4 linked regions of the Alligator mississippiensis genome follow. The protein of the gene in region 1 purifies or fractionates together with the protein of each later gene. This does not show direct contact. Links are inferred from orthologs where the notes say so. Each region holds a gene or a part of one and is shown on either strand. Other genes may lie near its edges. The genes, in order: AP2S1, NECAP2, AAK1 and RALBP1.

Region 1 (7,749 bases):
GGGGCCTGATTTGTGCCACCTGGTGCCACGAGACCGGCGTGCCCTCCTGTTCAACTCAGCCCAGGGGACCCTGCTTGCCCCCCTGCTGCATCCAGCCGAGATCCGACGGCAGGGCTCGGGCACAGCTTCTACCATGAGGTGCCCAGAGACGATGAGATTTGAAGCAACCCAGGGCACCGGTCATGATGGTTCGTTGCCCTCCTTGGAGCTTCACCCCCCAGCCCCACCGCATGGGACGCAGGGCAGGAAACGGGTCTTTTGCAGCCAGCAAAGCCATCAGCGGTTGCTCAGAGCCCAGCGAGTGCTAGGTGGGGCTTTGCTCTGCTCCCTGTAACCCACAGACCCGGAGGAGCCTCGCGGCGAGGGACAGGAGCTGCTGGCTGGCCCAGGCACGCACAGAGGGAGATGTGGACAGCCGGTCAATCACCGAGGAAGGCTCCATCTCCCTGAGGAACCGTCCGAGAGCCGTGCCCCCAAGACCAGGCCCAGCCACCTCCTACCAGCGCTCACCTCCACGAAGTTGTGGATGGCTTCCAGGTACGCCAGGTTGTTGTCGTTCACGTCCACGCAGATGCAGAAGTACAGCCCCGCGTAGCGCCGGTAGATGATCTTGAAGTTCCGGAACTGAGGGGAGAGGACGACGGTGGAGGCTCCACCAGGGGAGCAGACGGCCTGGAGGAGACCCCTGCGCCCCCAGGTCCTCTCAGTTGCCTTCCTGTCAGGGAAAACCCTCACCCCAGCTGCACGCAGCAAGACAGCAGCAGAACCCAGGAGCTCCCAGTCCCAGGTAGCCGCTCTCGGTGCCAGCCGACGTTCCCTCCCCCTGCCTCTGGCTCCTCCCGCTACGATGGGAGACTTTGGAAGCTCATGCCCGCGGTGCAAGAGCAAGCTGCTGTCAGCCGCACGGCGGGGCTGGGCCAGGATTCCTTGGACGGGTTGATCCACCCACATCAAGGTGGATCTGGCAAGGAGCCGACACCTTCACGTCCCGCCCACCCCCTCCCCAAGTGTCGGGGGCCGTGACACGCCGGCAGAGCGGTACCTCCACGAAGTTGGTGTGCTTGGCATCCCGCACGGTCACCACGGCGTGAACCTCCTCGATGAGCTTCTGCTTCTCGTCGTCGTCGAACTGCATGTACCACTTGGCCAGGCGCGTCTTGCCGGCCCGGTTCTGGATCAAGATGAAGCGAATCTGCGTGGAGAGCGGATGAGGTCAGGCTCCATCGCCTGGGTCACGGACAACAGCACGGCTCGAGGGGTGCAGACCCTCAGGGGAGCCCAATGCAGTGGGCAGGGCGGGTTGCCCCCTCTCAGCTGCCCCCTTTGCTGCAGGGGGTCTGGCTCCTTCCCCTCACCCACCGACCCCACCTCCCCGCCGGCAGAGCAAAGCCAACCAGGCCTCTCCTTCCACCCAGCTGCTCGCAGAGCGATAGGGGAAGGAAGAGCCGCGCTGCAGGGGAACGCCCCACAGCAGAGGCACCAGGGCAGCTCAGGATGGCTTGGGACAGAGCCCTTTGCAGGCAGGAACGCCGGGGCTCTGCCCTGCCACAAGCCCGACACCCGCGATCTCTCCTCTCCCACCAGGAGCCCAGATCTCGTGGAGGTCCCGTCCCCCAGCCACGGGGCTCGCCGTCCCCTGGAGCTGTCGGGCCCCGCACCGCCGCACTCCTGGCGGGGTCGGCGGGGGCAGAGAGGAGGCTTCCTGGAAGGAGCTGCCTCCCCGCCAGTGCGCGCTCAGCAGGAAAGGCCACGAGCTCCGTTCTGCTGAGCGGGGGGAAAGGGCTTCCTCAGAGGAAATCCTGACCACAACCCAGCCCAGAGCTGTGTTTGCCACCCCCACTAGGAACCAGCGGTGGGACCCCCAACACCTCAACCTCCAGATACTTTGCCCCGTGCACCCGAAGGTCCCATTAGGAAAAAGCCTCCACGGTGCGAGCGCTGGCGGGCATCACACCGGGCACCTCCCAGCTGCAGGAGCCCGGGCACCGGGGGTCCGGTGAACCCGTGTCGGGAGATGGACCGTCGCCGGCTCTATGCCACGTGCTCTCCCGCTCCTCGGGGCAGCCCGGTAACCCTGCAGAAGGGCTGGAAGGGAGCTCCAGGGGTCACGTCCTGCCCAAGGCAGGGTCAGCCCCGTCCCAACCAGCCCAGGCAAACCCAGCGTCGAACCTCCGAGCAACACGACCGTCAGCCCTCGCATCGCCCCCGAACCTCCCCCGGGAAAGCGGGGGGGCCGCGGCTGGCAGCGCCGTCAAAGGCTGTTATCAAGAGATGGCAGCGGAGGCCGTGCCCCTGCTGCAGGGGCGGGCAGCGCCGCCCTGTCCGCGCCGCTCTGCGCGGGGCGAAATCCCTGCCTCGCCCCAAACGCGGCATCCGTCGGAGCCCGAGCACAGCGGCGAGGCCCTCCAGGATGGACCCCGCGGGGTCGAGCGCCCACGGAGCACGGGCGCAGCCCAGGAGAGGGAAGAGACCCCGTCCCCGGCACCCGCGGCACGTCCAGGCCACGCGCTGCAGCGTCCCCGCGCCCACGCGGGGCAGGGGGCCTGCACCCCTGGGGGACTCCGCCGAGGCCAAGGGCCCACAACCGGCGCCGCAGCCCCGCGGGGGCCGCCCTTCCACGGCCCACCCCAGAGCCAGCCGCACACCCGCACACCCCCCCTTGACGTCCCCCCACACGGCCGGCTCCCACGCGGACACGCACGGGCCAGGGGCTGCCACTGGGGGCTGCTGGCTGGGCCCCCCCCACACCCCTCCCCTATAGGGGGCACTTGCCCCCACCCCTTCCCTATAGGGAACCCCCACCTTCCCTATAGGGGACACCCCTTCCCTAGAAGGACCCGTCTCTATAGGGGGCATTTCCCGCCCTATCCCTATAGGGGACCCCAGCTCCCACGGAGCCCCCACTCACCATGACGGCCCGACCCCGCACAGCTGCTCTGGGCCACTGCCTGCCCCACTCCCCACCCCACCGGATATCCGGCGGGTGCCCCCTCGCCGCGGGGCCCGCCGGGAGTTGTAGTTCCAAAGGAGGCGCGCACTTCCGGGGGTCCCTCCTCCCATGCGAAGCCGCGGGGCTTGCCGGGAGTTGTAGTCCCCACCCAGCCCCGCCTCGCCGCCGCCAGGGGGCGCTCGAGCTCCAGGCGCCGCGCTCCGGACTGGGGCGGCTGCCGCCGGGCGAGCGCCCTACTCGAGGCCGCGGCTCTGGGAGGCCTCGCAGGCCGCACCCGCCCTGGGCCCCCGGCCCTGCCTGGGGGCTCGCAGGGGCCGGTGCCCCCCACCCCAGAGACCAAGACCGACTTCGAAATCCGGGACCGCCCGCGACGCCTGGCCACCCTACATCGAGTCCAACCCCGCCGGAGGGAGAAGGACCGGCTCTATCCGAACCACCCCGACAAATGCATCGTGCAGCCGCTTCGCCACGCCGGGCTGGACCTGACACCACGCCAGGCTCGGAGCGGCCTCGCGCAGCCCGGCAGGGCCAGCACCGCGGCAGAAACGTCGGTGTCCGGGGCTGGCCGGGCGCTGCGCGTCGTCCGGCTTCCTGCTCCGCTCCAGCAGCCCAGCCCCTGCGCCGCGCCGCGCCGCGCCGGCGGGGAGTCCCCCAGGGCCCAGGGCAGGAGGGGTCCTAGGACACGCGGCTGAGCGGCGCCGCGGTGCAGACAACACGTCCTCTCTCGACTGTCTGTGGAGCTGTTTGTGCTGCACGAATTGCCGGCAGGAGCGAAGGACTGGGCCCCGTGCTGGGGCTTGTGAAACCGCAGTTCCCAGAGGCTTTCCAGCCGCCCGCAGCCAGGCTGGGCTGCCGACGGCATCCTCCGTACGCCTCCCTCCGGCCTCTCGTGCCCGTGGGCTTCCCAGAGGGCTCGGCCGCTCTCTGGTCTCAGCAAAGACCAGGCAGTGCCTAGTGCCAAGTGGCTGGGGCGATGCTGGCAGTGGGGTGGAGCGGTAGCCCGCCCTGCCACGCGGGGAGCGGCACAGGACAGCGGGAGAGGTGGACCCGGGGTCCCAGCCGTCGGGGTATCTCTGACGCAGCAGAGTCTCGCGCAGCAGATTTCAGCACCTTGCTCCTTCCACGCCCTGCCCGAAGCATCGTCCTCGGCCTGCCGGTCCGGTCGGTCCCGCTTGCAGCTCAGCAGCTTCCCCCCCTTGTTCTGTTGTTTCCCACGCCCCTGCATCAGGCGGGTGCCCAGCAGGGCCGTCTCCTGCGCGCACAGAGGAGCAAAGACTTGGACGAGCCGGCGTGGGGATGCTGTCTCCTTTGGTTCCAGATTTCTCTGGGACTTTTGCTGGCTGGAAGAGTCTTCAGCAAGTTACTATCCTCTCAAGGATGCTTTGGTCAGGCCACAGCTCCAGTTCCCAGCTCTGCTTGTCATCGGGGAAGTCATTTCCTCTCCCGGAGCCAAGCTTCCCCACTGTGAGATGGGGATAAAGCCACGCCTGTCTCCAGTGGGGACCTGCGAGGAGAACCAGAAATAGCCTCCCTGAGTCACCGGCGGCCGTCTGAAGCTGTGATTATTTCCCACCGAGCAGGGGCTGAGTTTACAGAAGGCTCAAACCGCCTCGCCAGGATGCTAGACCACGGAGGAACGGGGCTGGAGGATGAAGCGCCCTGCTCTCCCGATGGGCGATCTACAGCTTTCGGGCGCTGCCTCTTCTCTAAGTGCTGGGCTCTGGCGTGCGCCCCAGAGGCATCTCCCTCTCCCAAGCTTTTTGATACTGCTTTGTAAAGGTATTTCAGGGTCTGACTCGCATGAAACCCATAGGAACTGAGTGCCTCTGAGCCTGGCCCGTGCAGGCGACACAGGTATTGCATCATTTGACCCTCTGTGGACAGCTGGGCAGCACCGGGCGGTGGCAGATACCCATCCAGGTTAGACTAAATCTCACATCAGGCATCGTGCCTCATACTCCAGCTGGGGTTTCTTGGCCATCGCAATCCCGGCAGCTCTCCTGTCCTCTAGGCGACCCGCGGACCCGGCCACTTCAGTGCCTGGCTGGAGAGGCGAGCTGCCAGGAGAGCACTACCACGGGTCCGTGCCTTTTCCTTCCTGCCTCCCAAGGGTGAAAAGCAGCTCCCAGGCGTCTGGGCTTTGCTGGTTGCCGCATGGGGCTGGAAGGGAAACCAACCCCTCCGTCACGCCCCCCTTACAGTGAGGCCCAGGGAAGCTGTGGACTCTCCACCCCTGGAGGGGCTCCAGGGGAGGCTGGGCAGCCACTGGCTGGGGTGATCTAGGCGTAGCGATGCCCATGCTCCACTATGGGGATGTCCCGGGCTTCTGGGCTTCGCTGGTTGCCCCCCTCCACGATGTGCCGGGGGGGTTTAGGCCTTCCTCAGAGCCGCTGGGTGTTGGCTGCAGCCCAGGCTGGGGATGGCAACTAGCCTGTGCCAATGTATCTGCAGGGACCTACGCCTGAGGGTCCTGGCTAGAGGGTCTCACCTTGCTGCTCAGGGTCAGACTGATGCTGCATTTGGGAATTTTCTCCCATAGTCAGACTGGTACGGACTGGGGGGGCTTTGCTTTCTTCCGCAGTGGGGACGTGGCCTCAGCCTGGGATCTCTCTGGTGTATTTGAACAGCCTCCTCCAGCAGCAGGACATCGGGTGTCGTGGTCCCCCTGCCTCACCTGGAGCAGGTTCGGATGCGATGTCTGATGCTGTGTCAAGGTTGACGGTAGTTTTCCAAAGAGGTTTGGTGGTGGATTTGTCTGGGCTGGTTCAGACGGGGCTGATCCTGCCTCGGGCAGGGCCTTAGACTAGACGTGACCTCTGCCTACCCCACCACGCCAGGATTTCTATGGAGGGTTTAAAGGGAAAAGACGTTTTTGGTCGGTTCCCCCTTCTGCCCTGCATTAGGAGTGCCGGGCTTGCCCAGCCGGATTCTCTGTGAGGCCGACTTTCCTACGATCCTGTGTGACACGACACACATACCATTGTAACCTGCTTTGCTGGGCCTGGCGCCGGACCCCATGTCCTCAGCGCACACGGGTGGATCTAGGGTTTTGAAAAGGGGGGTGCAGATAGTGTCAGCCCAGATGACAGGACAAGGAGCAATGGGCTCAGGCTACAGCAAGGCAATTTGAGGTTGGATATTAGGAAAAACTCTCTCACTGTGAGGGTGGTGAAGCACAAGAACAGGGTCCCCAGGGAGGTGGAGGAGTCTCCATCCTTGGAGGTGTTTAAGACCCGGCTGGACAAAGCCTTGGCTGGGATGATGTAGTTGGGGCTGGTCCTGCTCGGAGCAGGGGCTGGACTAGAGCTGACCTCCGGAGATCCCTTCCTGCCCTCGCTGTCTGTGATCACAGCTAACACAACACACGCCTTTCTCCACTTAGAGAGAAACTAGAAGCTTTACTAATGCACTGGGGGCCCAGCGCTGTATTATTCAGTGTGTGAGCAAAGCAAAACACAAACAGCACTTTACTGAAGTGCAGACTCATTTGCTAGCTTCTATATTAAGCTTAAAAAACACAACAAACTAATAAAAAAAAAAAAAAAAGGGGGCCAGAGCTATTGTCTCATTCGTCCTGCAGTCATAAATAATAATGAAATGCACGTCTCTCAGCCAGATTTGTAAAGCAAAATCTTGCCGCCTGGAGCATCTTGTGCGTGCCTCTGGTGCTTCGCTGTCAGTCCTTTCCATACCTGAGCTAATGTTCCCCTGAGGGCGTGTGACCACACCTGAGTTCAGGGGATGATCCAGGGCAGCAGCGCTCAGCCGTTGGCTCGTGGGCCAAAGGCGGCTTGTGGAGCCGTCACGTCCAGCCCGCCGGGCTCTCCACCGGTCAGGAAATTTGGTGGTGGGGGAGTGATGGCAATTAATACGGCCGCCCTCCCCGCTGCCAAACTCCCAAACCCTGCACATCTGTGCTCCCTTCCCCCCATGGGACCGAGCCATGGCTGGATTGGGATGGTCCATGCCTCCCCACAGCTGGATCGGGATGCCACCTCCCACTCCGCAGCTGGATCAGGGCTGGGCCACGCCTCCTCACAGCTGGATCGGGGCTGGGCCCACCCCGCTTTTTCTGCACAGCCAGATTTGGGCCAGCCTGCCCCCGCCCCACTCCACGTGGCTGGACGCAGCCTGCCACGTCGGACTGGGACCGCTGGCCGCGTCTGGCTCGCAGGCGGAGCAGGCACCCCCCAGCCAAAAGGGTCGTGCAGTGCTGGACCGGTGAAAGATCCAGACGGTTATGGAGCTGAGAGGGTCCTTCACACCCAGGGAGCGAAGAGATCAGCAGGAATCAGGGGGATGATCAGGAGCGGTGAAGTCGGCCGATTCCCTGAGCCGCTGCCGGGATAGAAACGCCCCTGCTGCTCCCAGGCAGGCGGTTATAAAGCTCGGGCAGGGCAGGAATCATGGGGTGGGAAGGGGCAGCTGCCCCAGCGCCCGCCAGCCACACACCACGCCGAGCAGCGCGGCAGGGGCTTTGTGGCAGGACAGAAGAGAGGATGCAAAAGGCGCCTGCTCAAGGGGCCAGCCCTGGCCCAGTGGGCCGGGACCAGGGTGTCTCGCCCCACCCCCGGCCTAGTGCCACCCTGGGGACACCAGTCACAAGAGGGGGCAGGGTCATGACCTCTGGAAATCCCACCCACCCACTTCACTAAGGGGGGGAGGGCGCATGCGCGGAGAGGCGGCCCAGGTGACAGGGGCTCGCACGTGGGAAAGAAGACATCTCTGCGCACGCGCGGCTCACCGCTTTTCCACGCGCCTTCCCCCTCGCGCATGCGCACACACAACCTCCCTCCTCC
Region 2 (7,730 bases), on another chromosome or scaffold:
GCAACCAAGTAAGCTGTCAGGGAATTATACTTTGACACTAAATGCTATACTGGGGGACTGTGTCTTCTGAATTGGTTAAAGCGGTCCCAACAAGACTGAGAACGGTTACACTAGAGGAAAGTTAATTTTTCCATTTGATCTTTGGACAAATTGCTCACATTAGAGCAAAAGGAAGAGATTCAGACACACACACACTAAGAGGTAAACTCTCCTTCTTGGCCTTTACACTTGAAATCTAGAACTAGCGGTCTTGAATTATTTAGTTGCTGGTTTTCCACCCTGTACAACTGGTGTTCACTCAGGTTATTAGGAGCGTGTGGAACGGGAATTTCCAGCTCTAGAAGCTTGTGTGAAATGAAGCTAGAAACTGTTAAAAAGGATATGATGCTGCTGGAAGGTGCTGAAGTTGTGAGATTTATGCACAAGACTAACCCAGCATCATCCGTTTCCTTGTACTGCTCCTTGATATCTCCACCCCTACCCGCTGCAGCCCTCCCTTCCTCTCTGCTGAGCCTGTCACTTTACAGTGCTCTCTGTAACGGTTTCATTTCCCACTAGGAGTTGAACTCAGGCCTGGTCTGGGCACCAAGTTACACCAGTTCATATAAAACTGACTGAGTCACCCTGGGGCAACTGTATGTGCAGATGCTCTCAGGCTGCATTCAACACTGCTTATCAGTTCAGCTTGGGTCAACAAATACACTGGCACAGAAACATGTTAGATCAGTCGAGTTCAACTTAAGATCAGTTAAATAAGCCTACATGCCAAGTGGTGAAAATCCTGTAACTTTTGATCTTTGGTTTCAATTCAATCCACACAGGTTGCTGAAATACAGGCACCGAGTGCTGATTTTGGATGGATCTAGTCTGGTGTCCCAAGGAACGAAAGGCACCTCACTCCACTCCCCTAGGTTTTTACTCTGCCTCTAAGATGCAACATTTATTTAGCCCTTTGAAATGAGGAATCCTTCATAGCTGGAAGACTAATCCGGACCAGGCCAATGGAAACCTCCAAGACAAACTTCAAAACGTATTCATCAAGAAACGTGCTTGCCTTACTTAGTATGGTGCTAGAAAAGAAGAGAGCTTAAAACCTCCCCTACCATTTCCATCTTCAATCCGAACGACAAAATATCGGCTGGAATCCGTCACGCTCTCCACAGCGATGCCAGGAAACTGGTCCACGGGGGCCTGGGCAAAGAGCTCCCCTACAAGCAGAACTGTGTGTGAAGGGCAAGGAATCTTAATGCCAAAGAAAAGGAGCCAACACAACAGCGCCATGTCCCAGAGCACAGCACGCACAGGGACGGCGGCTTACGCATGCTAGGGAATTAAACACAGTGATACACCCACAAAGTATTAGGTATTTACAAGCTGTGCATACCAACAAAGGAGTTAACCTACTTACCCAGTGTCTTCCAGGAAGCCTACAGCAGAGGATAAAACCCAGACAGAAACCCAGACTGAGAAACCAGTCCAACCACTACTCTACATGTCCTTCGGAGGCTGAAATCCATTAACCCAATTCTCAGTTCTCAACATAAGGCTCTCCTTATACAGCTGGGATTGAGAGCAAGCTCATTTACATGACTTGGAACCAGACCAGCCCCAGGACTATGATCAGGAAGTCCCGGCAGCAGGGGGATAATCGCAGAGGGAGTCGCTACAGGCAGTGTATACTCTGCGTATCTCTTCAAGGACTGATCCCCTTCTGAGCAGGGCCCAGGGCAGGGAAAACGCGTGACAGGGGCCACAGGCAGCTCTCTCCACCCAGACCGAGCGCAGCGGCAGCACAGGGAGAACGGAAGCGCTCGAACCAACCTTCAGAAAAAGGTTCCATCTTTGAACCATCCTGGCTGCATCGAGGAACTGAAACACACAGGAAGTGCTTCCAACAAGAACTATGGGGATAGGGCAGGAGATACTAGTTGTGGGGGCTAACCAGGTTTCCCCCCCTGATTTCATTAAGGACAGACTCCCTAGCACAGAGTTTGTAAGGCTTCTTCCTGCTCAGCCTCTTAAACACCTTGAAGAGCTAACAAAATTGGCATCTAGTTGAGGTTATTCTGCCACAGAAGGGGGAAAAAGGGGGCTTTAAACCCGCTGCTCAAGTCGAGTTCCCTCCCACTCCTTGCACCGCTGGGGCACCCGGCACCACCAAGCACCGAGGAGCGGATCCATCCAGAACCAAGTCATGTGGGAAACCTCAGCAAACCTCCTCGAAGGGGAAGACGCTGCCTTGAGGCATTTTCACATCAATATATTGTGAATATTTGCATACTTATTTTGAAGCGACCCGAATTCATGGGGTAGCTCTGGGAAGCATCCAGGGCTGCTCTCACAAGGACCCGCGAGCCTGCTGCGTACGGCAGCCCCTTTCGAGCGGGGGCGAGGGGGGGGGGGGTCGCACACACGCACACAAATGCTGCTCTTTTCCCTTTACCTGTAGTCTTATCCTCGAGTTTGATGAACGCCATCTTCCCCTTGGACGTGATGCGCAGCCGGCCGCTCCACGCCGGCTGGTCCAGCTGCCATTCTGCAGCCCTGCGGGTAGAAACTGCTATTAGCGTCTGAACAACACCTCGCGAGTCCCCGGCTGAGCCTCTCGGCGATGACTCCTCGTGTCACGGCATTGCTCGGGGTCCCTACGGCTGGGACCCACGATGCGAGTATCAACTCGGCTACTGCGGCCATGGAAGGCGTGAAGCAGAGGCCAGGGCTCCATTGCCAAGTACAGGTATCGTACAGACGTGACAAGAGAAGCGCTTTTAGTTACCCCCCCTCACTGCTCCCCGCATTGTAACCCCGCCCCCCTCGGGGCGCACCGGTGTCCGCGGTTGGAGGCGCGCGGCGGCACGCGGTACACGTGCACCTCGGGCTTCACGCACAGCACCGACTCGTAGTCGCCGTCCGCCATTGCTGTTGCTGTCGCCGTCGCACCCGGAAGTCCGCCCGCCACCCGGCTAGAGCGGCCCCGCGGAGGTTGGGCGGGCGCTTCCGCGTCGTCTCTGTGGCTGGGGCGGCCAGCCAATGGGGAGGAGCGGGGGGCGTGCCTTTGGGCTCTATGGATTCCACCCCTCCCCTCTCTCTTGGAGGACCGCGGCCCGGCCGCCGAGCCCCGGGCGCGAAGGCTGCTGGGAGCGGAATGCAGAGCAGCCGATGGGCGAGGGAAGGACGGAGAGCAGACAGCAGAGCAGTCGATGGGCGAGGGCACAAGGCGCAGTAGCAAAGCAGGGCAGGGAGCAGCAAGCAGAGCAGCAGATAAATGTCTTGTCGTTCCAAACTGGTGGTAGGGCAGATGCTTCAGCATGAGCACAACCAGCAACGAGCTAGGGGGATAACAATTGCAAGCCTCTATTACAAGCCTGAAACTTCCCTAAAACCAGTATTTTTAAATGACTGGTTCTTTCCCTTGAATGCACCCCTAGCACGGACAGTCGTTTCATCGTCTTTAGGGGCTGGACAGGACCTGACCGGCCCCCCTGCACCGGGGCAGGAAAGACCGCTGGGATCAGATGACTCCAGCGAGGGCGTCAAGACGTTTTTGGCAGCGCGCACGTTTCCAACCCAAGCTGCAAACTGAAGTGCAAGTCAACCCCAGAGCAAATACGGGAAACGCGTCCCGAGCAGAAAAGGAAACCTTGCTGTCACGCGTGGTGGACTTGCCGGTCATCAGCAGACCCGATCCTCCTCTGGGCCCGCGTGGGGGTGGAGCGCGCGGCGCGCGGCTGGCCCTGCGCAGCGCCTGAGGGCTGCTCGAGCTCTCGCCCCACGATTTTGAAGTGGAGCAGCTGAGCGGAGAGAGGACGGGAGTTGCCGGGACTGAGTTTGTGTAACCGGAGGTCCGTGGACGATTGCTTGAAACCGTCCGTCAGATGCAGCCCTCTGCGGTCCTGCTCCATCTCCTCCTCGTGCTGGGTGTCGTTTGCCTCGTTTCCACAGGTGCCAATTTGTAGAACGGGCACAACCAGCTGTCCAGTCCGTGGCGTGGTCTTCAGGAGCGGAGAGGAGATCTGCCCACAGGATGGCAAGCAATTTGAGGGCCGTGTGGATCCGAAGCAGGTAGTACCTGGAAGAAGCTGTGTTCTTAAAATGGCAGAGAGAACCTGCTGGGGAGACTTGGACCATGCTCCCAACGGCCAGCATCACACCCCCCAGGCAGCGTTACAGCGTGAAAACAGGACGCTTCACATGGCGGAGTTCAATTCTCCTTTTCAGCTGCTTGTAGGGGGTAGCTGACTTGGGGACTGTCCCCTCCTACAGAGCCGGTTCACCAGCACTGAAGAGATTTGTGTAAACCAAATCTAAATCTCACACAGACACACAAGCACACAGGTATTCCCAGCCATGAGGGTACACACTTGCACCTTCACCTTGAGCTGGGTTTATAAAGGGGAATTAGCGCCAAAGAGAACCAAAAAGGTGCCTTGGACTATTATAAGTCCCATTCATTTTAGCTTTCTTGCATCCATTTCAAAACAAAATGACGCAGCAGCCTCCACCTTCACTGGTGCGACTGGATACCAACACTGATAGGAACTGGATGGCTTCTACCCCCCCCAGCTGGTCAGACTCCAGTAATACAGGGGCAGAGGGAGAAGCTGGGAGACACCTTGAGCTGTCTCATCCTATTTCCCACAACTGCAAGGACATTTAGCATAGCCCCCAGTGCTTTGTTTAGCGCTTCAAAACCTTGCTCACAAACTTGCACTGCCCCAGGTGAGCAACTTGCCCAAGTGCCCAACTTTGGTCAAGGCTTAACTTAAAAAGGGAAACGAGTCTTTTGCAGCATAAAAGCTATTTTCTACCCTCAGCACTTTGTCTGCATCGCAAAGGCTCTGCTTGCCAAAGGGACCAGAAGGCTTCAGGATCCTGTGAGCAACGCGTACAGCTGCTCTCATGAAGACGGTATCAAGATAGAGGGCTGGTGAGCAGGTGGCTAGGAGAACGCATGAAGCACTTTGCCTTCTATTCATGAACACCAATGCAATCTCAGGGCAGCTCCAACCCGTTAGTTCTTCCCACTGTTCCCAGTCCACATAAACCATGTAGATGCAGAATTTAAGGCTTAGGACTTTTCAAAAAAAAAAAAGAGCCTGCAGCATGAGCAGCTTGCTCTCGGTACGCAGTGTGTTAGATCGCTCCTTTCAATTTATCTGTGGTCGTCACACAAATGGGGAAGAATAAAAAAAAAATCAGAAAGGTCCCCCATGTTCATGGACAAGCCCGAGATAAACATGTGAAAGAGAGGATGCAGAAATCAAGTAATTTCACTCGATTCGCTGCAGTAAGAAGCCACTCGGAGTTCCCTCCCCCAGCCCTCCACTTTCACGGTGCAGTCTTTGTAAGCTTTTTATCAAATATAACAAGCTGGGATGTTGCTGTCCAGATCTGCACGCAAAGCCTGGGTGGGATGCGAAGAGCAATGCGCATGAAGGAGTTCAATACAAACTGCACTTTTTTTTTTAAAAGTTTAAACACATTTATTTAAAATACAATTTATAAAATGTTTTTCTGCATACTTAGGAGCACTTCCATGGGGAGACGGGCGGCTCTAGCTAGATCCTGTGTGTCGGATGCACACAGCTTTGCACTTCTCACCACCTGAACGCACACATACGCACACAGGCACACACGAGAGAACCGTAAAGTGCCCCTAAGAACACACACAAAAAACCCCTATAAACGTGTATTAGAACAAAAGCTCTAGCCCCTCTGCAGACAAGGCATTTGACTTATCCCAACACTGATTTCCGGACAGGATCGCTCACCTACTGTCCATCTAGGAGGGGCCCGGTGGCGGGTGTCTACAGGGATGCTGCCCCATCCTGCCTGCAGGCTGGAAGCATCCTGACTGATCGTGCTATAGGGATGGAGAAGCTGGAGACGGGTGCTGCGATGACCTCCCCTCGTGTAACTAATGTGAATTTACGCGAGGCTGATGCTGGAGGTGCCGGCTCTGTCCTATGTGCAACTAGCAAGAAATTTTAGGCTCTGCTGCACAGGACAGCAGGCAGGAGAAGAGGATACCGTTGTCCTAACATTGGCAAGATAGCTGAAGCTACGTCAAGAGGCTTTTGCGGCAGCTGGCCATCTGAAGTAATAGCTATTTTAACTGAGAGTTAAGGAAAGGCGTGGTGACTAGTTATTGCTGTCTTGTCCCCCCCCTCCCCCCCACCCCCGCCCATCCTCCTCTCTCCAGCCATCCCCATGGGTTTCTCCTTGCCACCACTGTGAAGGAAAGATAACGTTTCCTGCGATGCAGCTGCTTCTGGCTTGTACAGGTGCCCCGGGGCACGTGCCAAGCCCTACCTGAGAGGAAGTTCCGTAAACATCAGATTACAGCCTTTGAGAAATGACTCCAGGCCGAAGGGGACATCGGTACACATGGCCACCTCTCAAATTACAGCAGAGTAAAAGAAAAAAAAGAAATCTTTACAACAACCATTGAGGGCTCACCTGATTCAGGGAATCACACAGGGCGATGGGACAGAAGATCAAGTCAGTGAACAGATCTGTATTCTAGCAGATTATGTTTTGCACATAGATAGGATTTTTTTTTTCTGGTAATTTGTTTGCAGTATCTCTGTACGTGTGTCAGTTTACTGGCTGGGAATCTCCCACACACCTCGCTCTAGGTAGAGGTTTTGTACAGCTGCTTCCTTTCAGGTAGAAGAGGCTGGGTTCAAATGTCCACCGTTCAACCTACAGAGCACAGAGAGGGTGGACCATATTTTGCCAGTACAGAATACATCCTCCAAACACCAGAAGCGGAGAAAGGCAATTTGTGGGAACACAGCTTGAAGCAGACAAGCCCATGGGCAATTTTGGCTGAAGGAATGGTTTAAACCTTCTGTGGTGGCAGACAGAGGTCAAAAAGGTGCAGTCAGTTTTTCTGCCTGTAGGAAGAGACCCTAGCAACACGGTGAATCCCCTCTAGGACTGGAGTCTTTCCAACATACAAGATGCCTTCTCTTTGTCCCATCAGAAAGACATCTTAGTGTTCATCTAATCCCTCAAGACAATTACCATGAAGGGTAGGTCAGTTTTCTCATCTACCATAAGAGTTAGGCAATGCAACAAAACAAAACCAGACAGTGTAGGACACAGGAGAGACCGTGGAGCAATTGTATTTGACAATGTACTGCAACAATAAATTTGGTGGTACCTTAAATTTCTCTTCCATGGCTGGAATCCAGGAAGGTTTTCAGACTGCCAGATGAAACCCTACCTCAGACCCCTTTCTCTTTCCAGGGTTTAGAGAAGCAAAAAAAGTGAGCAGTTGCCTGAAGCCTAGCAAAAAGCCACTTGTTACCACCAGCAATGCATGAAAACAGGGAGTTTTTCCAAAGTTTATTGAACAGGGTTTGTTCCCGGTGTCTATGATTCCTAGAAGTAAATGCATCAGGTACAGCACTGAATTGTACCATCACTGAAAGATTAGAGCCATCAGTCCTTCACAAGCCACACTGCTTCAAGGTTTGTACCTGGTGGCTGTCCTGCCTCCTACTGTATGGCAGCCATTCGACAAGCACAGGCTTTACAGAGCATAGCTCGTTGCCACATTTGCCATGGGCCAGTACAGTACTGAACTAGTCTATTCCTAGCTTGTAAACCTGGATGCAACAGAGCCCTATTCCTTCACCCTGCTTTCTCGGAGGCCGCAGGAGGTCTCCGTGGGATCCGTCTACGCTCCCTTCCCCCCAGATACGAAAGGATGTTCCTTCCTC
Region 3 (7,006 bases), on another chromosome or scaffold:
CAAGTAACTCCCTTGTTTACCACAGTGATGGCTGATGTCAGTGGAAAATGTGAAATTCCTCACTTTCCCCAGAAATCCCTGGCTCTCGGAATCTCTTGGCCCGAGGTGTATTCTCGAAGTCTACTACCTGCCTAGGGAATTTTCCAAGCAATTAGAAAAGCAACTCTATGGAGACTGGCTTTCCCCAGTTACCACATCAATGCCAAGTTCAGATGAATCTATAATATTCACCCAGCGTGGCTGATCATGCCTTCTCAAGGTTAAAGTAGAACAAGGTTTGAACTTGGATGAAATCCATGTTTTTAAAAAATAGTTCTGTTTACACTTCTCTTAATGGAATAGTTTAAATGACTGGTGTAGCAATCACATGGGGCCCCATTTTTATGTAGCTAATACTACTGTGAAACAGGAGCAGCTCCAATGAAGTTATAACACTGCAAATACGCAAATGAGAGGAGAATGAGGCCCTTGATATCCACAGGTCAAACTGTCACCCTGAGCAGAGGTATTCTTCTGATTACTTTGATGACTGGGTTGTGTTATCAGATGCAATGCAGTACAAAGGTGGCAGAATTTGGCTTTTGCCTCCATGTGTTTAACTATACTGGAGAGGTGGAGAGGCTCAGTATATAAACCAGAGTGGAACCTAGGGAACTGCTTCTAGTCCTGCTACTTTGATATCCCCTTCCTCTACCTGCGTCTTGATTTCCCCATCTGTGTCATGATACTGACCTTGGGGAAGCCCTTGGAGATCTATGCATGAAATGTGCTAAATATTATTGTTCTTTGTTTCTCTGATTAATCACAAATCCACTTTAGCAATTATAAATCAATAGCTTTCAAGTTTAGGAACAGCAGCCAAGCACGCGTACAAAATGCCGCTAATACTTTTTTTTAGGCAGCATTTGAAAACTGTGCCCAAAAGCCAGTCCATTCAAATAAGGCAGCGATGCAAGAGAAAGCAAAATGACTGTGCCAAAGGCATAAATGGCTTCATCATTCTTGCCCACATGCTGCTTGCAAACATATCTGATATAGTGTTTTGTTTATACACCTGTATTTTCAGTAAATCCCTCTTGTTTAAAACAAAAGCTGGAGCCAAAAATATATATCATTTGGAAATGCTCCCAATTACATGAGAAATTTTCCATCAAATCAGCCAGATAAAAGTGTGGTAAAGGCAAGCGGTCGCCTGTACTCTGGATTATTTTTCTTGATTATCTGTATTGCAACAGCTTCCAAGGGCTCACATCAGGGTCACAGTCTAATTGTGCTGGGTGTTATACCTACGTATCCTTCACTCTGTCTGCTGTGTGGTTGTTACAGTTATCAGCTAAACTTCTGTGCCTGCAGAGACTTACGCGTGTGCTTAACTATACAAAGCCACCACAGTGGGGCTATCGGTATAATTCACAATGGATCCAATTCAGCTTCTGTCTAAAAAAAGAGACTCCCACTGATTTCAGTGGGATCTGGTTCAGATCCAACATGTATTGTGAAGATGTGCTTTTGCCTTTTTCAGTGGAAACCTGTTCCATCAACAATTCTCCAGATAAACTCGGTGCCCAAAACCTAAGGCACCCAAAATCACTGGTGCTTTTGGCCTTAGAGATCTATTTTAAAGAAAGGTGGAGAAAGCAAAAATTCAGCCCGTGGTGATGAAAGGGATTTAGTCACATAGCACTGAAGTCAGTGTCAGCTGCTCAGACTACTCAGGACTGCAGAGCAAGATTGGGCCTTGGGAACGAAGGGGCTATGGATTATCTATATTGTACTAGCATCTGGAGAAGCCCACCCAGATGAGACCCCCGTTGTGCAAGCTGCTATATAATCACTTAATAAGGGACAGGCCCTGCCACAAGGAGCTTCCAATTTTCTGCAAAAGAAGGCTGAGAGGTGATCTTGTGGCTGTCTGCAAACTCATCAGGGAGGGACAGCAGGAAACAGGGGATACAATGTTTAACAGGGTGCCCATCAGGGTAACTAGAAACAATGGCCACAAAGTGAAGGAGAGCAAATTTAGATTGGACATCAGGAAAAAGTTATTTACTGTGAGGGTTGCTAACATATGGAATACGCTTCCAAGGGAGGTGGTGCTGTTCCCTTCCTTGGAGGTATTTAAGAGGAGATTGGACAAACACCTGGCTGGGGTCATCTGAACCCAGCACTCTTTCCTGCCCAGGGCAGGGGGTTGGATTCGATGCTCTAATAGATCTCATTCAACCCTAAAATCTATGAATCTATATAGCTGAAATGAAGAAAGGCTATGGAGACAGAAGGAAATGGAGTGACTCTAAATCGCGCAGGATGTGGGAAAACACAAGTGGGTTAGCAGCAGGCACGCTTTCCCTTTCTACTGTGGGCTCCTCAGGAACACCCATGTTCCCTCTGACCCTTCTTCTGCAACGCAAAGCTACACCTCTGGGCCCTATAGGAATAAGGCATGGAAGAGTCTTGTTTGCAGGAGCAAAGTGTGAATTCTGTTGCTGTGTTATTTTTTAATTAACTCTGGCTGTGTGTGTGTGCCATCTGATGGTGGCACCATGCACTAGACCTGTACAAACTCACAGCAAAACAATACAGTCTGGATCCCAAATTGTTTTCAGGTATAAAGGGCTGGATCCAAAACCTCTTGAAGTCAGTCTTTCCACTGATTTCAATCCGCTTTGGCTCTCAAACACTGCAATAAGCTCTGCCAGGGCCTGCTTTGGTATTGGCAGCTTGCAGGACTGTATCCATTTCTCTAAATGCCCAGCTGCAGGAATAATATGATCGCAGGAGAATCTCAGGCTGTGGAAGCTCTTTACCCCAAATTAATAAGGAGGAGACACACAGACGGCTCCAAGAAAGCTAACTGCCCACCATAAGCTCTGTCACAGCATCTGGTGGCAAAGGGCTACTACCCCTGGATAAAATAGCCGAGGGATGCAGACATATGACAGTTTCTCTGCAGTAAGTCACCTCTGCGGGAAGTTGCTATAGTGGTTTTTGCAGCCTCATTTACCCCAGAAGGGAGAGATCTTGTGCCTGTCTGAATCTGACGGTGTATACGCCACTTGTGGTATTTTTTTAATCTTTTGTCTGCTCCTGTGGAAGCTGGTAGCTTTTATTATTATTTCTGAGTGACAGCTTGGGGAACAAGCTCGGGATCCCGCAGCACTGAGCGTTTTGTGATGGGTCCCGGAAAAGGTGTCGGAGAGCTGTTGTAAAATAGTCCCATTCCTCCAGGTTCATTCCTGTTTGCCTTGAGGCTGCTTGCTTTAACCGGGGAAGGATGTGGACTCTATCAGCACCTGCAAAGCCGAGACTCGGGATGGGAACCAGGAGCTTTTCCCAGACAGGCTGTGTGCTTGCTGCTTCCCTGGTCCCAGCCATCCTTCAGCTGGCAGCAGGAAAACTACAGCTCCCAGGTGCCTTTGCTGCCAGCTGGAGAGGGGAGGGAGGGGCACACCTTCAAAAGCTTTTATTGCTGAAATCCTTCTGCCCACAGCGCAGCTCCAGCCAGCTCAGGCACTCACTCCACTGGGCACTGAATAATGTCAGCAGCAAAGCACCCCCCCACCTAGTGATGGACCCCAGGGTCTTCTCCTGGTGCTTTGTGGGAAGCAGAGTCCAGCTGCCTACAGGGCTGGGCTCCCTTCTCTGGAGGACTACCATTCCCATAATGCCCCACAGCTGAGCCTGGGTGTTGCAATTTAAGAACACTCTTTCTTTGCAGTGCCTTGAACTCCTGCTGCTGCTTCCCCCCTTGCATCTGAGCCCCCTTCCCTCTTCTTCCCCCCCACTCCTTCCAACCCAAGCTTTTGCTTTTCTGATTTCTTCCTCCCCTCCCCACTCTGCCAGATCAGGATGAGAGAAGAGGAGAGTGCTGCAGAGGAAGGGGTTAACCCTAAAACCTTTGCGGAAGGGAGGGGAAGTCACTCAGTCCCCAACTCCACCCACCCTCCTTGAAGTAGGGACTTCCTGTGACAGTTCATTTCCTGGTTGGATGGAGCTGGGAAGAGGAGGGAGGGCTGGGGGGGGGGCACCTGGAGTAGGATCAGTCTGTAATGGTCTCTGGCTATCAACTGCTGGCCGCCTTCCTTCTGCGCTTCCCTGAGCTGCAATGGTCTCTTACAGCCATGGCCCATCCAGTTCCAGCAGAGAGGATGCAGCAATGGTAACACTGTGGCCAAGTTGCTAGCTGGGTGGCTCCAGCCTATTTGGTAGCAAAGGACTGGGGCAGTCCTGCGGCTCCCTGTGCTGGGGGGTTTACATGGAAAGATTCGCTGCTCAGGGCAGAGGTACATCATCCTTCTCGCAGCAACAGCTTTTCGGGGATCTGGGCAAGGGGTTTGAAGGGGCTTGTGCATGCAGGAAGGCTGCCTCTGGGCGCCAAGGGGGCTATTTTGTTTTGACAGCATGGCTGATTATTTTGGGAGTGTTTGTAATGTTTTATTCCCCCGCCCTTTTTTTTTTTTTTTTTTTATATATAATGATTACAGGTGTAAACCTTAGCAGCTCTGCCTTCCAGAAGGAAAAAGCATCTCTCCTGCTTTAGAAAAAAACAGAACGTTCAACAAAACAGGGGGGAGGGGAAGAAACCCCAACCCCACTGGAAGTAATTTATTCTTTCTTATTGGCTGGGATCAAGAAGGGGGGAGAGGAGAATTGGACCTCCCCAAACAGCGTCACTGTCATCATCACACTGGTATCTCTTGAGAGATGAAGAAGTTCTTTGATTCACGTCGGGAGCAGGGAGGCTCTGGCCCAGGTTCGGGAACCAGTGGAGGAAGTGGAAGCAGCACCGGCCCAGGGAGTGGGTACGTTGGCCGGGTGTTCAATATTGGGAGGCACCAGGTGACGGTGGACGAAGTGCTGGCGGAAGGTAAGATCACACTGGCTTGTGCAGAGCCCTTATTTTTCCTCTGCAGAGGTATCTTGTATAATGTAAACAGAGGCTTTGGCCCTCTCTTCAGGCGTGTTGTTTTCCCCCCCCCTTCCTCTCCTCCTCCGTTTTCCCCAAGATTTCATTGTCATTGAGGGGTTTGCAGTCCGATGACAGCTACAGCTGATACCCCTGCTGTTTGTCAGAGATGCAAGTCAATCCTATTATTGCAGATTTTATTTGTTTTTGAAATGCAAGCAGGAGAAATAAAACCAACAGAAGTTGGGATTTTTTCCTCCCAGCTGGAAACTTGGAATGCTTTAAAAGCAAACAAACCAGCAAAATAATCCTGGCATAGTCTAGTGGGAGACGGTGTGTCTTGAGAGAGAAGCCCATTGCTTTCATTGTGGAAGTTTCTTCCATCAGCTTGCATCTTTCCTACCTTTGCTAGAGCTGGGGAACCACTGATAAATTCTCTGTATGTTTTTAGTGTAGGGTCTATACACAGGACTTAACAGAGCAAACAGCTGTTTGTGGTAGTGGGTTGTGGCTGGATGAAAAGATGCCAAGCAAAACTGTAATCCAGGTTATATTTACTGTTTGTGAAGTGCTTTTAAAAAAACTTAAAAGAAATAAAGAATAACAAAGGTTATACAACCCTAAGAGCTCTCTAACCTGCAAGTGAAGTGCTTGCAATGCAACTAACTGCTTGTAATTATTATTTAAAAGACTTGTATCTGGAGCATTGCTGCTTTAAATATAATTTTACTTTTCATATGCATGGACTATAATGGGATCTTCTGCAAAGTCTCTCATTAGTAACCTTGCTCTCGACCTTCAGAATAATGTTGGCCTCCTTAAACTGGCCCATAGTCCATTTTGTGCACAGCATCCTTGGTGTTTTCAGTCCAGGCAGTGTGTTGTTTAGGTTTTAATTGAATGGGCTTCTGCAAACAGACTGCCTGGAAGAGGGCTAAAGAGAAGAAAGCTGGGGTCTCGGAGCCTGGGGGTAGGTGGCTACCTTAGCCTTGACATAAATTTGAGCCCTGATAGGGACAATACGAATGGTTCAGACCTTTTTTGATTGAGCTATCTTAAGACAGATTTGTCAATGTCTTTTTATAGTCATGGTTAATCAGGAAGTGCCGGGCTGGGCTGGGGCTGCCTGAAATGCTGGTCATGGTGAGTGGTGCATGCTAACTGTAGGATGGAGAGGAAGCCAGAATTGATCACCCTAAACAACCCTGGCCTAGGAAGTCTAGTGATCTCTCCAGCTTTGTGGGGCACTGATTGCAAGAATATGGCACAAATCTGCCTTGATTTATTTTTCCAAGGCCCTACTTGCCCCTGGAGTCCAGCAATGAGGTTTGCTTCAACTCTGTAGCTGCTACTGTTCTGCTCCCTGCTCTCTGGCCTCATTCTTGTAACACCAGGATGAACAGACTTCTTTGCTGATGGGTAATCTCTTGCTGGCAGATCCTGCCTAGGATGCTGACAGCAGCGGGAAGTGAGCTGCCATGCTATTGGGTGCTGTCCTGCTCAGCTCTCCTCTGTCGTGTTTGACTGCATTTCTGCTCAGGCCTGGGCCATAGCACATGTTGGGGTGAGAGATGAGTTGGGATGGGAGGAGGAGGGATTACTCTCCTGTTGTGTTGTCCTGGTGTTCTCCCTGTGCCTCAGCAAGAATAGCATCTTCCGGGAACTCCTCTGTGCATGAGTGCTGTCCAGTAGTGAGAGCAATCATGGGGATTAAAGACTACTGGGGAGGGGTACAATGTGGCTTGGTGCTAGGGATAGGGCTGCCACTCAGGATTTGATTCCTGCAGGCCTGTTAAATGGATCAAATCCAACCTGGAGTAGACTGTCAGGGCATGAGAAGCTCTAAGAACCCTGTCTTGGTGGGAGCTGCCGCACAGAGGTCACTGCTACGACGGGTCAGGCTGAGGGCATTGCCCTCTAATTGGAGGTCCTTACTGACCCCCTAATAGGGCACAAGATGGGTGGCTTTTAGCATAGGTCTGTGGGTTCAGTCCTGTTGATACTAGAGAATGGAGAAGCTCTTTCCTTCATGAACATCTTGGGGGCGCTTGTAAGGCAACCTTGCCGCCTTCCCATCTGTTGGGATTGTATTCAGCATGC
Region 4 (6,968 bases), on another chromosome or scaffold:
GACTCAGTTTACATCATCAATGTTAATCTTGTTTTGCATTAACACTTTTAATTGTTATAACTGTTGAACTTCTAATTGTTTTCCTAAGTTGATTTTCATTGGTTGGTAACCATTAAAACATGCAGGTATACAACTAAAAATAGCTTTTATACTAAATTTGATTCTTCTTTTTGCTAACCAGGATATTTACACATTTAAGCAACTATATACATGTACTCAGATACTTGTTATATTTTATTGTGTTATAAAACGGTGAATTGCATTATTTATTTACTAGATGATGAATTTTTTACTTGTGGTTTACATCAAATTGCTTTGGGACAAAAACTGAAATTGCTAAAATTCAGCATTTTAAATCTAATCTAATTAATTGTAATCTATTTTTAATAATTAAAAATAATATATTAAATATTCTGGATACACAAGAAAAAGTTTATCAGAATATATTCAGACAAAGGTTCTTCGGGTGAATCTGATATCTTTTATTAGACCAACTTAAATAGTTGGAAAATAATTATTAAGCAAGCTTTCGGGTTCAAAAACCCTTCGTCAGGCTAAGGAAGTTTCTGCAGTTGGTGTGCGCTCTTCCTGGATGGCATGAAAAGTAAAGAAGCCAGCCCAGCCTCTGGCTTCTTTACTTTTCATGCCATCCAGGAAGAGCGCACACCAACTGCAGAAACTTCCTTAGCCTGACGAAGGGTTTTTGAACCCGAAAGCTTGCTTAATAATTGTTTTCCAACTATTTAAGTTGGTCTAATAAAAGATATCAGATTCACCCAAAAAGCCTTGTCTGCCTATGTCCTTAGACCAACATGGCTACAACCTACACCCCTGTAACACATCAGAATATATTCTGCATTTCAAGGTAACATTTTAATAAGCACAGGAAAGATTCTGTAGTTACTGAGCTGAACCAACTGTTTCAGTCACTGCATACTTCAGTATTTTAGAACTGGTAGACTTCAACCTCTCTCTCACAGTTGTTATTCACAGATTAGAGGAGGAAAACCAGTCTCCCAGCTTTTTCAGAGCTCAAGCACAGCGGTTCTCAACCAGGGTGCCGCAGCATGCCAGGGTGCCCCAAAATCCTTTTAAGTGTGTCGTGCAATATCAGCTCTGTTAGGTTTGCAAACACAGACACACAATTCACAAGATATACTCAGAGATTTCAAATAGGAATCAATACGGTCAAAAACATTCTGCCTGTTGTGGCTTTTCTGAGTACTCTGTAACAGAAGAATTGTGCTATTATTTTTTGTATTTTAAAAAAATAATTGAAATATAAAATCTGGCATTTTCTGAAAGGTACCTCAAGTCTACTGTCTTGGGTCTAAAAACAGCTGAGAATCATTGCTCTAGTGGCTTCTCAAATTTGAGCAAACACATTATTGAACTAAAACTGAAATTAAGAACATATTCTTTTTACACCTGCAGAGGTGGCTACAACTCTCAAGAGCTGGTTTATTACTTCAAAAACTTGTAGTTCCAGTTATTTAGCCAGGCATTTCAACCAGTTTTGTCTTTAATTATACCAAATTAGCAAATGTACAGGTTCAATATAATTTTAATTATATTATGTAATATGCCAATTTCAAGTGGTATCTACAAAGAAAAATATACTTTACATTTAAATGTTAAAAAATGCACTTCTTTTTTTCTTTAGAGGTGAACTGATATATCAGTCCATATCAAATTGGCACCTATAAAAGAAAATTGATATTATCAACAATTGGTTTTTTTTGGCAGGTGTAGCTAATAATGCCACCGATCAATGCCACATGCATGCATGCAGCCGCAGCATTCACGCGGCTAGGAATGTAGCCTGGCAGCCCGGAGAGCAGAGTCTGGCTGGTAAGTCTATGGGGGGAAAGGGGTGTAGAGGGGAACAGACTGAGGCCCCTATGGCAAGGGAGGGAGTGGGGCCAGGGCAGCACAGGGCACAAGGGAGAGCCTGGAAGGAAGGCACCATTTTGGTCTTGCTTCTCTCCCAGCTATATGGTAGGCTCAGTAAAAGACAAAGATTTTGTAGGGTGATCTCTTTTATTGGACCAACCACGTAGTTGGGCTATAATCAGACAAGCTTTTAAATGCAAGACACTTTTCCTCAGATCTCGCATCCTCAGGTCTTACATTCGGGAGTTTGCCTGACTTTATCCCAGCTACAGACTTGGTCCAGTAAGAGACCGCCCTAAGAAATCCTTGCCTCTCCCATCATTTCTGGGCCATCATAGCTATTCCATCGCTCTTCGACTACCAATAACAGACACTGCCAAAAACTTCTTACTTGTCATCCATTTGCCAGACCATCACAGTCACAATGTCCCTCTGACCCTGCTGGAGTCCCCCACTGAAACCTGTGCACCATGCAAGGTGCACACATTTGACATGGCTTGTCGGCACTGGTACGCTGCACCGCCTTGGCCGCACCGACACAGCTGGCAGGACACGGCCTCACTGCTGTACACAAGGTCCCCTTATTCCAGGACGGGTGTTTCTGCAGGCCGTGGTGCAGGGCCATGTCACTTGGCCCATAGGGCTCCCACCAGCCTAGAAACAGGGCCACCCTGGGAGTCATTTATGCTGCCACCGCCACCCGATGCCCTGCCTCGTGGGGTGGGTCCAGGGCCGCCATGCGGCGAGGGGGTCACGGTAGGTCCCAGCCTGGCGAGATGCTGCACCAGCCCATGCCACCAGCCTCCTCGCGACAGCGCCTCCTGTGGACGTGGACGGACGGACGGACACGCGGACGCGGACACACACACACACACACACACACACAAACGAGGAGGGGGGGCAGGAAAACGTCCGTTAACCGCCCCATTCCAGCCCGGAAGTGGCTGTCCCGGGCCCTTGCCCACCCCCCGTTGGGAGGGGACGCGCCCCCCGCGACACGCGCGAGCTCGGTACTGACCCGGGGGCTCGACCCCGCTCGGCCTCACGCGCGCCCCATGGTGCCGCCGCCCGCGGCTGCAAAGACAGGCCGGGAGCAGCGCGAGCCTGCTGACGCATGTACGCAGGCGCGCCGCCCCCCCCCCCCCGTGAGGGAAGCAGCTGAGGCCAGGAGGGGAGACTACGCATGCGCACAAGGAGATGCAGCCTCCGGCTAGTGTGCGCCTTTGCGAGCACAGGGCGAATACGCATGCGCATTGACAGGGCGCCGGCAGCGGAGCCTGAGCGTTCGCCTGGGTAAGGATGCGCAGGGGAAGTTCCACCTTCCTCCAGCCAGCGCCCTCCCGGTACATGCCGAGAATTGTAGTTCTGTAGAGGCAGATGCCCGGGTGGGGGGCGAGCCTGACTACAGGTCCCAGCGGGCCGCGCGGCAGGCTCCACTGAGGGGCGGGGCTAGTTCAGTGGCCAGGGAGAGATGCGTGCTGCTGTGGGAGAAATGGAGGGGGGGGAGGTGGGGAGCAGAAAACAGAGCAGCAATATCGGGCAGGCAGTAGGAAGCAGATGCGGGAGCACCAGATCAGGTAGGGAGTGGAAAAGAGAGCAGCAGACCAGAAAGAAAAGTACGTGAGGGCACAGTGCACACGGCAGGAAGCAAGAAGCAGAGCCCCAGATCGGGTAGGGAGCACAGCAGCGAAGTAGGCAGGCAGCAGAAATGAGAGCAGCAGATAAAGGAATACAGGACAGGGTGGGGGAATAGAGCAGCAGATTGAGCAGGGGCAGGAAGTAGAAACTAGAGCAGCAGATCAGGCAGGGACTGGGAACCAAAACAGCAGACAGGGCAGGACGCAGAGCTGGAAACAGGGCAGGGAGGGGACAGAAAAGTGGCAGAGTGGGCAGGGGATTGGAGCTAATTTGTGGTACGTCTGTCAAAGCAGGTTGGTCCCCTGGTGCAGTAAAGCAGTGCTGAACCCACCAGTACAGCCACAAGTCTGTTCTTTTGAGCAGATATGTTTGAAAAGAAGAGCAGAGTTTGCTGATCTTGTCGGAATGGAGTTAAAATTATCATGCTGGAAGGCCCTTAAATGTTGCAACTAGAGAAAATTCAACCAGCTTTTAAGGGACACAAAAGCACAACTCCTCCGGCAGCTGCAAGGATTGGAACTGTTCCTTTGCTCCTGGTCTAACCTGACTATAGAGCTTTGTGTCCCTAAGCAATTTAATAGGACTAGAAAGCAGCAATCAATTTTGGCTTCCTCTTTGACAAAGAAGTTGGTCTTGCATATTTTTCTTTGCTTTCGCATCGAATGCCAGAGAACAGAGAAAGGGTCCGGCTGTTGCGCGAGTACACGTTCTATGCCTGGAAATGCATCTTCCATCTCAATGCCTACTTTCTTTCTCTGGCCTTTAAATAATTTCTTGTATTCTGCCTTCATTCGACTGCAAGTTTCCGAATATGTTAGACACCTGCAGATCTTGAATCTCTTTCAGAGCTCCTGGTAAACAAGGGAATTTGTTCCAGTGAAAAGTGGACTGATTCATTTCCCCAGCCTCCAGGCATAATCCTGGCATTTTGGACACATGAATACAATGGCAGCTTGCCACCTGCTTCATTTATTCACTTGACATTCAGTGCTCCTCAGTCCTTACAAATGGGCTCTTTGTGCAACCTTCTGTGGTAATGTAAAAGGTCCCCTGCAGGAATTTGTGTGTATGTCTATTCTGTAGGAAATATAAAAGAGAGGGTTGTAAATACTCTTGATTGCTTTTGAGCATAGATATGTTGTCTTTACAATGTATTATGTAACTATGCAACTCCCATAAATCCCTTTTTATCCCATGGAGGCTATCTTAATGTCAAGTACTCATTGTTTTATTTTACTTAACATCACAAGCAAATGTTTTTACCATACAAAGACTAACACAGCAGGCCATAGGAGGAAAGAAAGGTTATTACTCACTGTAGTTTTTTGCTTCTGTGGATCCCTGCTCTAAGGCACATTCACAAGAGCCACTTCACCTCCAAGGAGTAAGGATTCCTATGGGCTATTGTCACTGTGAGCCTATAAAGGTTCATAAGCTGCATGATGCAAAACGATGATTTCCCTAATCGCTGAGGAGGGCAAATGGGTGAAAAGCACAAAGAGCATCTCTAGCTTACAGTTGATTTGTGTGTGTTCACTGGGAGATTTGTTCCTTTAGAAAAGTTCTCTCTTGTCTTGGTCCTCATTACCTCAGATAGTTTCACTCCACATGCCTCATTACATTTACTGTTGGCAAATTCTTGCTGGCTATTTTAAACAAGAGCCATGCTAAAGTATTTGAAATGGCAGGTCCTCTTCTCTGAAATTCAATCTGTGCAATAAAGAATGGGGAGGAGTTTTGGAAAGCATGCAAGGAAGAAATAGGGGAAAAAAAGCACTGATATATTAATTAATAGCATCCCTCTTCATGCCATCTCCTGCCAGATTGTAGCCTTCCTGCAGAAAAGACACATGACAGGTTTTTCTTTTGTTTGTGGTTAGTGAAAGATTCCTAGTATTCATAACTGCCAGAACAGCTCATTTCATGATCAACACAACTCTGTTTGATCAGGTCTGGTAACAGGCTTCTACCACATGTACATTTGGCATAATAATTTATGCCATCTATGGATACTAGGGTTACCATAGGTCTCAGTTTTCCCAGACATGTCCTTTTTTTTTATCCTCCGATCTCTTTCTAGGCAGTTTTTAAAAATCTGCTCAAATGTCTGGGATATTGCTCAGCTCAGCTGTGTGAGGTGGGGTGGGTGCATGCAGAGGCTGGGAGAAGCTGGGGCTGCAGCTGAGAACTGGGGCAGAGGAGATGTCTGCAGGATCCTAGCACCTACCAAATTCAGTTTAGCTTCTTTGCCACAGCAGAGAAAGAACCCTAGGGTCCTAGCACCTGCCTTTTTCTCTCCCTCTTACAGCAGCATCTGGTCACTCTTGGGTGTGGGACTGCAACTTGTCAAGGGGGATGGATTGTTGGCAGCAGTCCACTGTAGGGGAAAAAGGTTGCAGGGGCAGGGCAGCCAGGAGATGGAGGGAGCAAACGGCTGTGGTTAGAAGTGAGAGGTGGGGAGACTGTGGGTCCCGAATGTGGGGCAGGGAGTTGTGGGTCAGGAGTGAGGGGCACTAGTATGGCCCAGGGAGACAGGATACTGTGGGTTGGGAGTGAGGAGCACTGGCAGGGCCAGGGGTCCCTGGGTCAGGAGTGATGGGCTGCAGTAGAGCTGGAGGGGCTTTGGCTTGGGAGTGAGGGGCAATGGAATGTGCAGGGTGAGGGCACTGACATATCACTGCACTTAACAGTCATATATGCCCCCCATGCACATGGCAAGTGTCCTCTTTTTTGGAACTGGAAATATGGTAACCCTAATCAATACTAGAAACCTTCTGGATGCAATTTTCCATAAGCACTAAGGATCTCCCTTAGTCACACTTTTACTTGGTCATCCAGGAGCAAATTCTTGTATACCAAGTGAGAAAGGTGGGGAACACCCAGGGGCATGAACAGCTGGTGCCTCCCGAGACTTGAGGGGCACTATTTGTAAGTGGCAGTGTTGACAGCGAGTGGTAAACCAGGGTTTATGTATCTGAATCATTTCTATAGATGTTAGTACCATAATCCCATTGAAAAAAAATGTTTTATATATTTCTGTATTTAAAATGTCACATAAATGACATCTAGCTAAGCACAATCCTGATTGAAAAATTTGGAATTTATATAATTGCTTATTACACTAAGGCATGTTTATTAAGTTTTTAAAATTACTTACAATATTATAGTGAGTATTTAATAATATATATTACCCAGGTGCTTCAACTAGGTAAGGCCCTAATTCAGCAAAGTGTTCAAGCATATAGTTAAGTTTAGAATTTTAGCAAGGCACTTAATCTCATGCTTAAATCAAGGGCCTAGTAAAGTAAATGTCCCCCAAATAAATTATGATCTTCCCACTCTCAGATGGCCTTCACAAAATGCATAATAGTACCATATTATGAGATTTTCATTGCTAAGAACATTTCAGAGCAAACAAATTACCTTCTCTAGATTTT

What was found.
Region 2: the proteins of AP2S1 (region 1) and NECAP2 purify together in Homo sapiens (affinity purification with mass spectrometry; 3 studies listed by BioGRID and IntAct, counting the BioPlex papers as one, with this or other methods). This does not show direct contact. The link is inferred for Alligator mississippiensis from reciprocal best matches to the Homo sapiens genes AP2S1 and NECAP2.
Region 3: the proteins of AP2S1 (region 1) and AAK1 purify together in Homo sapiens (affinity purification with mass spectrometry; 4 studies listed by BioGRID and IntAct, counting the BioPlex papers as one, with this or other methods). This does not show direct contact. The link is inferred for Alligator mississippiensis from reciprocal best matches to the Homo sapiens genes AP2S1 and AAK1.
Region 4: the proteins of AP2S1 (region 1) and RALBP1 purify together in Homo sapiens (co-immunoprecipitation; 3 studies listed by BioGRID and IntAct, counting the BioPlex papers as one, with this or other methods). This does not show direct contact. The link is inferred for Alligator mississippiensis from reciprocal best matches to the Homo sapiens genes AP2S1 and RALBP1.

What each region holds. Positions count from the first base shown.
Region 1 is NC_081838.1:647,948-655,696, forward strand, and holds the start of AP2S1 (AP-2 complex subunit sigma), read right to left. Parts: upstream 3,014-7,749; 5' UTR 2,912-3,013; coding exon 2,909-2,911; intron 1,193-2,908; coding exon 1,043-1,192; intron 625-1,042; coding exon 511-624; intron 1-510. UniProt on the Homo sapiens protein: Component of the adaptor protein complex 2 (AP-2). Adaptor protein complexes function in protein transport via transport vesicles in different membrane traffic pathways.
Region 2 is NC_081836.1:3,410,175-3,417,904, reverse strand, and holds the start of NECAP2 (adaptin ear-binding coat-associated protein 2), read right to left. Parts: upstream 3,013-7,730; 5' UTR 2,918-3,012; coding exon 2,826-2,917; intron 2,545-2,825; coding exon 2,444-2,544; intron 1,209-2,443; coding exon 1,104-1,208; intron 1-1,103. UniProt on the Homo sapiens protein: Involved in endocytosis.
Region 3 is NC_081830.1:12,976,204-12,983,209, reverse strand, and holds the start of AAK1 (AP2-associated protein kinase 1), read left to right. Parts: upstream 1-3,999; 5' UTR 4,000-4,159; exon of another isoform or gene 4,160-4,283; intron 4,284-4,484; 5' UTR 4,485-4,704; coding exon 4,705-4,867; intron 4,868-7,006.
Region 4 is NC_081826.1:95,143,276-95,150,243, reverse strand, and holds the start of RALBP1 (ralA-binding protein 1), read right to left. Parts: upstream 3,001-6,968; 5' UTR 2,912-3,000; intron 1-2,911. UniProt on the Homo sapiens protein: Multifunctional protein that functions as a downstream effector of RALA and RALB. As a GTPase-activating protein/GAP can inactivate CDC42 and RAC1 by stimulating their GTPase activity.